Callithrix jacchus: one gene and its partner. The protein of the gene in region 1 interacts with the protein of each later gene in a biochemical or structural test. Links are inferred from orthologs where the notes say so. Each region holds a gene or a part of one and is shown in the gene's direction. Other genes may lie near its edges.

Evidence for each region.
Region 2: the proteins of SEMA4D (region 1) and CD72 form a complex in vitro, tested with the Homo sapiens proteins (2 studies listed by BioGRID and IntAct). The link is inferred for Callithrix jacchus from reciprocal best matches to the Homo sapiens genes SEMA4D and CD72.

What each region holds. Positions count from the first base shown.
Region 1 is NC_133502.1:73,234,586-73,238,391, reverse strand, and holds part of SEMA4D (semaphorin-4D), read left to right. Parts: intron 1-723; coding exon 724-817; intron 818-1,837; coding exon 1,838-1,951; intron 1,952-2,968; coding exon 2,969-3,120; intron 3,121-3,806. UniProt on the Homo sapiens protein: Cell surface receptor for PLXNB1 and PLXNB2 that plays an important role in cell-cell signaling. Regulates GABAergic synapse development. Promotes the development of inhibitory synapses in a PLXNB1-dependent manner.
Region 2 is NC_133502.1:142,530,851-142,535,137, reverse strand, and holds the start of CD72 (B-cell differentiation antigen CD72), read left to right. Parts: upstream 1-1,258; 5' UTR 1,259-1,368; coding exon of another isoform or gene 1,369-1,450; 5' UTR 1,451-1,459; coding exon 1,460-1,661; intron 1,662-2,368; coding exon 2,369-2,440; intron 2,441-2,943; coding exon 2,944-3,033; intron 3,034-3,382; coding exon 3,383-3,718; intron 3,719-4,287. UniProt on the Homo sapiens protein: Co-receptor of B cell receptor (BCR) that plays both positive and negative roles on B-cell functions. Recognizes the Sm/ribonucleoprotein (RNP) self-antigen ligand, and coligation of CD72 and BCR inhibits BCR signaling.

The sequences.
Region 1 (3,806 bases):
TTTCACATGTTCAGGGATAGAGACACCTCATCTGCCATTCTGTGGGCATTTTTCCCCCTTGCTGTGTTACTTCCTTGCGTGGAGCTTTCCAATTCTCTCTGTGGTTGGCTCTGTGCATGTTTTCCTCGTGTGGCTGTGGGTGCTCTGGCCAGGTAAAGAGATGACCCCTAGATGGAAATGCCAGCCCCTGCTTCATTTTAGTGTATTGCTGTTCCGTTTTTAGTAATCAGATTGTTGCTTCATCTGGTATATATTTTAGTGAGTGGAGCGCGGTAGGGATTCTGCCTGTTTACATTTTTTGATTTCCTATTTATCGGGTAATCTAGCTTCTTAGAATGCCATCTTTATTGATGTTAAAATTCCGCACCAGGGCTTCCACTCACATACTGAGTGTTCTGTATTTGGTTTGTCCTGGCGACTTTCCAGCCCTAGAGCCATCAGCGTTGCCATTTCCATTTGCAGATGAGTATCCTGAGGGTCTGAGATCTTGGGAATCTTGGCCAGGGCATTGAAGCAAGGGCACCAAGGTGCTCATGTCCAGACCCAAGCTGAGCAACACACAGCCTGGCTCTGGTGGGCGGGACTCCCGTGGCGCCACACCCATCTGTGGCCCTGTTGGTCTTCCGAGAATAGCAAATTTGTAAAATTAAATGGTACAGAGACACATTATTACCACAGAAATTCAGCCATTTGATGAGGTATTCTCTTTTTATTCAATTGTAGAGTTTAACATCCTTTAAATTTCTGGGGAGAAATGAAGATGGCAAAGGAAGATGTCCCTTTGACCCAGCACACAGCTACACATCCGTCATAGTTGGTGAGTCCTGCCCCTCCAATTCCTTCACCCAAAGATTACAGTGGCATGTTAATTACCAAACAGGATATTCGGATCTTCTGTGAAGTCCTGTCTTCCTTGGCTTTGTTTAAATACAAGCTATCCTTACAAAAGACACACGTATCTGCTCAGACACTAATTTTGAATTCATTGTTCACAAAGATAATAGCTGCCATGGTAAATGTCACTTTGTATCCATCGCTGGCTCATGTCATTTGGATAATGCTAGCATGGTGAGCAGATGCTCCTGTTTGAGAGGGAGGTTTTGACCAAGCCACATGCTGTCTGTGGTCTTGCACCCCTGAGCAAGTGGCCTTAGCCTCGTGTGCACCAACTGTTGCATCTGCCAACATTTTCCTGGATGTGGGAGTTACTTGCTTGTGTTTACTTATTGCCCCACAGCTCTTAAAATGCAGCTGAACGTGGAGCATAAAATTATCCTCATCAAAGTGAGAGCATGCCTGTGGTCCTAGCTACTTGGGAGGCTCAGGTGGGAGGATAGGAGTTTGAGACAAGTCTGGGAAACAGCAAGAATTCACCTCAAGCCAGGCACTGTGGCTCACACCTGAATCACTGGAGGTCAGGAGTTTTGAGACCACCTGGCCAGCAGGATGAAACCCTGTCTCTACCAAAAAATACAAAAATTAGCTGGGCATGGTGGCCTGTGCCTGTAGTGCCAGGTATTCTAGAGGCTGAGGCATTAGAATGACTTGAACTGGGAGGTGGAGGTTGCAGTGAACCGAGATCGCACCACTGCACTCCAGCCTGGGCAACAGAGTGCGACCCTGTATCAAAACAAGAAACCTCATCTCGGAAAAGAAAGAACTAGAAGACACAGGATACCCCAGAAGTTGAGGAGACTGTCTTTCCCTTTCCCCGGGGTGAGGGTGGGGGCTTAATTGGTTTATAAAGGGAACCACTGTGTTGAATGTCTGTCCCAGTGTTGGTGCCACAGCCTGAGAGGTTGGTTCCCTTTTCCTCTTTTCTCCTGGTCCCCTGCAGATGGAGAACTTTATTCGGGGACATCGTATAATTTTTTGGGAAGTGAACCCATCATCTCCCGAAATTCTTCCTCTAGTCCTCTGAGGACGGAATATGCAATCCCTTGGCTGAACGGTAAGGAGGAGCAGTGCACCTCAGCGGGAGGTGTGGTCTCCTCGTGAGCATGCACCCATTGATCTCTCCTTTTGCTGTCTCTGAGCCCTGAGGGCCCCTGAGCTTGTGTCAGCCCCTGTTTGCGGGGGTTGGGGGGGACATTTCCCGAATTGCTCAGCAATGGCCAGAGTCCCAGGGTGCCTTGTTTGCTGTTTTCTCTGCTAACAGTGTACTGTCTTAAGACGGCTCCCCGCTAACCCCCAAAAATGGATTTGGGAGACTCTCATAAAAGTGAGAATCTGATAGTAAATGGTAAACTCAGACTAATCGAATGGGGACATGGTGTAATTTCCAGAGTGATATTAAAGTGTGGCATGAACACTGGTGTGGGCCCTGCCTCCAGGCCAGCCTCTAGCACCCGGTTGGATGGGCTCTGGGTGCCTTGTTGCTGCCAGCAGCACGTGTCTGATTTCCATCTTAAATGTGCAGGAAGAAGCTGGTGGCTGTTCATGGGGTCTTTTCTTCTGTGTGCCAGCCTGCAGAGCCCTGGATTTTGAACCTGTTGACCTCAGGGCAGATCCCAAGACCCAAGATTCAGGGACAGCTGGCTATTCCTCAGGGTGGGGCAGGATCTGGTGGTTAGAGTTTGTTTATTTGAAGCATGTGTTATTTCAACCTGCAAATGCATACCTTATGTAGGTCTGTGATACTGATACCATCTGGTTCCCTGCCTTGTAATCAGAAGGCCCAGCCTCACTTCTTCAGGTGGACCTGGGTAGGATGTGCTCCCCAGAACCACTATTGAGGGCATCTCTCTGAGGCCAAGGAGGTGGGGGTAGGGCACCCTTTGGACTCTGTGCTATCATCATTCCTGGACCCTGGGATTTCTGCTTGGGTTATGGCATGTGCACACTCCAGATATCCTTGCAGGGAAGCCCTCAGGCCCCCGAAGGCAGTGCAGGCCAGCCTGGTGACCTTGTGGGTGCAGGCAGTGCCCCAGCTCTGTGTTCCGGGATAACGGCTGACCTCTCTCTGCAGAGCCTAACTTTGTGTTTGCTGACGTGATCCGAAAAAGCCCAGACAGCCCCAACGGCGGGGATGACAGGGTCTACTTCTTCTTCACAGAGGTGTCTGTGGAGTACGAGTTTGTGTTCAGGCTGCAGATCCCACGGATAGCAAGAGTGTGCAAGGTGAGTGCCAGGCAGTCTGGCTTTGCTTGGCCCCTGCCTTGGCAATAGTGTGCCTGGATGATGAGTGCTCTGATCTTTATCTGAAATGTCACTTTTCCTAGCACTTTATTCCCTTGGGCCTCAGATGCCCCTCTCAATAGGCCTTATTTCTGGGGGTTGTGGGGACTGGAGGAATGCTGGCCTCCTGTTCTCAGGAGGTTCTGTTTTTTGATGCAACCTCCTCAAGCCTCCCCAGTGTATAAAAAGCAAGACTTTGTGGAATATATTCACCAGAGTCTGTTGGAATTTCACCATTTGCCTCTTAATCTACCTAAGAGTGAAACATTAACTGACAGCTTAAGATTAAGAAGAGAGAACCAAGACTGCCAAAACACAAAGCTTTAGGTACATACTGGGGGAGGGAGGGTGCCTTTAAAGTGACACACTGAAGGCGCAGTGCTCAGCACAAGAGAACAGCCTGTGGGCTTGACTGTAGGAAATCTCAAGGCTGCTCAGTGGCGGTTTCTGGGAGGTGGATTGTCAGGCCTCAGAGGAGCCATGGGAAACCACGAGAGCCAGCTGCCGTGTCCCTGGCCAGGTGCTCAGCTCGGAGCAGGTAGCTGTTCATCCCTCGTGGAAATTGTTATATGGTTCCTGCGTGGCCCTTTCTCATATAGTGATGACCATCAGGACATCAGAGAAGCAGG
Region 2 (4,287 bases), about 69 Mb from region 1:
GGCATGAGCCACCAAAGTGCTTGTGTTACAGGCATGAGCCACCGCGCCCAGGCTACAGATACATTTTTGAGGTGACAGCCTCGTCTCAGTGGCCACTTCCTCTAGGGCTGGCTGGGCGGAGCTATTGGCAGAACTCTAGGGTCCCTGGCAGCGTCTCACCACACACCACCAATCATCCGAGCTGTTGGCATGCAATGAGGACCTTTACCCCCTTCCTTTTTCCTCCCCACAGCTGCAGGAGGGGGTTCTTCGGAGCGGATGCCACACTGCTTGGGCGAGTTCTTCCCACCCCCACACTATGTCTTGTTCCAGTTCCTATCCCTGATGTAGGCTGTTTTGGGGTTCTTATTAGGGGTCACATCCTGGTAAAAGAACATTAGGGAGTACCTTTGGACACCCCTGTTCAGCAGCCTCTTCTCCCCTTCTCTGGTTCCCTCTCTCCTCCATCAGCTAGGCCCCTATCACCTATGAGGGCCTCTCAGTCCCTGGGTCCTCTGCCTCAAATGCCCCTTTTTTCCTCAGGGACAGTGTTGGGACTTTTTAAAGGAAGAACTTTACTAGGAAAGTAGGAGGAAAACCAAAACCAAACCAAGAAAATGTCAAAACCTCTGCTGGTCCAGAGTCTGCGCTCGGCCTCTGGCTCTGCTCTGCTCCTCTGCCTTGCCTTTGCCTAGGAAGCTGCAGCCCTTCTTAAACCCTCTGCAACTCCCTTGCTCACCTGCTCCCTGGCTCCCCATGAGGGTGCCTGGGGGGAAGTGCTGCCACACACCTTTCCAGAGGTGCTGCAGTCGTGGCTGTTCCTCGCCTTGGCCTGTTCCTAAACCCACAGTTACTAGAAACCCCAGGATGATGAGTGACAGATGCAAACCAGGAGCCCCCAGTCTGATGGGGAGAATGGAGCCTCACCCTGGAGCTGGGGAGATCATCTGGATCAGTGCAGCTCCAGTTACACATCATAAGCCCCAGTGGACAAGGCAGCCGGGAGGAGGGTGGGGCAGAAAAGGGCAGATAACCAGGAGGACCAGTTTTGGGGCCCAGCATGGCCCACATGGGTCTAAGATGCATGGAGAAGCAGCACAGGCAGGACATGGGGACAGGCCCAGCCCCTACCCATGTGCTTTGGACCTCAGTGTCCCCTCTGTGGCCCCTCTGGCCCTGGCCCAGGGATTCCTTCTGCTTCATTGAGCCCATCTGTTTGAGACTTGCTCACATCTTCCTCTTTTGTGACTGGAAATCATAGGGCTAACTGCTTAGCGGTACAGTCACAGAGGTAACACAAAGCCTAGGTGTAAAGGGACAGAGAGGAGAGGGGCAAGGGAGGACGGTGGATGACAGGGAAGACGGGTGGGGGCAGAGCTGCTCGGGACCATGGCTGAGGCCATCACCTATGCGGATCTGAGGTTCGTGAAGGCTCCCCTGAAGAAGAGCAACTCCAGCCGGTTAGGACAGGGTAAGGGGGATGAGGGCTCCCCTTGATCCTGCATCCCCACTCCCTGCCCCACAGACCCCATTCCTGACTCCCACATCATTGGTCTCTATTCTCTTGTCTCCAGAACCAGGGGCTGATGAGGATGGGGAACTCACCTATGAGAATGTTCAAGTGCCCTCAGTCCCAGGGGTGCCCTTGAGCTTGGCTTCTTCTGGACTAGGGGACAAAGCAGGTCTGGAGATCCTGGGGGATGTATGTTTGTTGCAGGGGATGTGTTTGTTGAGGGGCTGTGTCTTGAGTTGGGGAGTCCACAATGTTGTTGTTGAGACAGGGTCTTGCTCTGTCACTCAGGCTGGAGTACAGTGGTGTGATCATGGCTCACTGCGGCCTCGATATCCTGGGCTCAATTGATCCTCTGCCCTAGCCTCCCAAAGTGTTGGGATTGCAGGTCCATAGTATTCTTGAGAGCTCAATACCCTGGGGGAAAGGAGGAGGCCGGTTGGTAGGAAAGAGAAGAATAGGAACAGGATAAATGGGAGCCAGGAGAGGAAGAAAGATTCCTTCAGCAAGGTGGAGACCCCAGGGCAGCCCTGGGGAGGGATGAGTTCTAATGGGAAATGGGGAGCCATGGGAGGGAAAAGAGGGAATGGGAGAGGTATGAGAGCAATGGGGGAGAGGGATTGGAGCTGAAAATAAGGGGCCACTGAGGAAACAATAAAGGGAGAACTAGGAGAGATGAGGGAGTCCCGGGACTGTGAAACCCAGGAGGGAGCCGAGAGAGCCCCGGGCAGACCAGGAACTCAGGAGAGTGACGGAGTGTCCCAGAGCAACTCTAGCGGGCTGGAGTTTCCCAGTGGCGAGGACGAAAAGCGGGTGCGCAGGAGGAAAAGGAGCAATACTCGAGGCGTCCTGTCTCACACTGGATGCTCCCCTCGACAGCGGTCAAGTCCGAGCAGCCAACAGCTTCCTGGAGTGCCGTGACGTCATTGGCGGTCGGGCGGATTCTCCCCTGTGAGTGTGTGTGCTGGGCGGCCTCGGGGACTATGGATGGCTCTGGGCCCCGCGGGGTGCAGCTCTTGCCGGGTTGAACCCTTCCAGGGCAGAACTGCGCCCCAGCAGAACCCCGCCCTGGCTGAACCCCTCCCTGGCTGCCTTGCGCCATTTACCTCCATCCCAGTGCGCCAGAATCCGACGTGCACCGCCGCCCCCTTGGATGGTCCCAATTCACCTACCTCCCCACCCTTCTCCTCTCTCCCTCTCTCCATCTGATATTTCCTTCCCCTTCTCCCAGGTAATGTCCCCGAATCCTTACCAGCTCTGATTCTGCAACACCTTCTCCCCTACATGCGAAACTCCCTGCTACCCAACAGAAACCACCATGCTTGCCCCCTCAGCTCTGCACCGCCCTCCTCTAGGGATGCCTTCCCCAGGAATCTCCCCTACGCACCCATCCACTAGTCTCTACTTTCTTTCCCGGGGCTGACTGCCCGCATCCATCCCACTGTCCCCCTAAGGCCGCACAGCCTGCCTGCCATACCTCCTGCTTGGCCTGCTCCTCACCTGCCTGCTGTTAGGAGTGGCTGCCATCTGCCTGGGAGTGCGCTGTGAGTAAGGCTGTCCCCACACCGTCCCCACTTCCCACTTACACCGAAGGACTTTCATCCCGACTCCCTCCCCAAAGCTGACCCACAAACCAAAGCTGACCCCCAAACCAGGGCTCATCATCACTACCACCACATGCTTAGCTTTAAGTTTGGTTTCCAGCCAGGTCTGTTGTCTTCCTGAATCGTCCTCACCTACTCCAGTACCTCCTTAAGTTTTAGGCAGTCAAATCTCGTATTTCAGCCTGTAATGTAAAAAGTTGCAAGAAGCAGAAAAAGGGCTGATGCTGCAGTCTCAGGGCACTAGGGCAGGGCTGGAGAAGACGTCCTCCAAATCTCTGTGGCCAAACAGATCTGCAGGTGTCTCAGCAGCTCCAGCAGATGAACAGGGTTCTGGAAGCCACTAACAGCAGCCTGAGGCAGCAGCTCCACCTTAAGATAACTCAGCTGGAACAGAGGGCAGAGGATCTGCAGGGGTCCAGGAGAGATCTGGTACAGAGTCAGGAAGCACTACAGGAAGAACAGAGGGCCCATCAGGAGGCCCAAGGGCAGCTCCAGGCCTGCCAGGCAGACAAAGAGAAGACGAAGGAGACCTTGCGAAGTGAGGAGGAGCAGAGGAGGGCCTTGGAGCAGAAGCTGAGCAACATGGAGAACAGACTGAAGCCCTTCTTCACATGCCACTCATCAGGTATCCGCTCTGGGGAGAGGAGAGATGGGAGGGATGGATTGGAGCGAGGAGATACTAGTGGCAGGGGTCTGTCTATCACAGTGGGCTGTGAGCTGTTCAGGAAAGGGACAGTGAACCAGAGTGGTGGCTGACATAAGCTGTCCAGCCTTGGCCAACAGAGAGAAGGACCAAGCTGCATACTGGATTTAGGGGGACCCACCCAGTTCCAAGGCATTCTGTGGGAGAGAGGAGGATGGCACCAGCAGTCCAAATCACAGTGTCCAAGGTTTCATTTGGCTGACATCAGTGACAAGGATCTGGGAACACTAGACTTGGCTGTTTGTACATCTTTCTAAAGACAGGGTCCTCAGCTTTAATTAATTTTCGTTATAGCTGAGATCCCCCCCAAAGGGTAAGACTTAATGACTGACATGGAATGCAACCTGGTGGTGGGACAAGGCAGTGAAGCTCTCAGCACTCACAGTAAGGTGGAGCCGGGAGTTGTGGTGTTGGAACTAGGATGGGGTGTCCATTTGTTTTGAAAGCAGGACCCTAGCCAGTAGGTGGAGATGGCGAAGGAGACACATAAA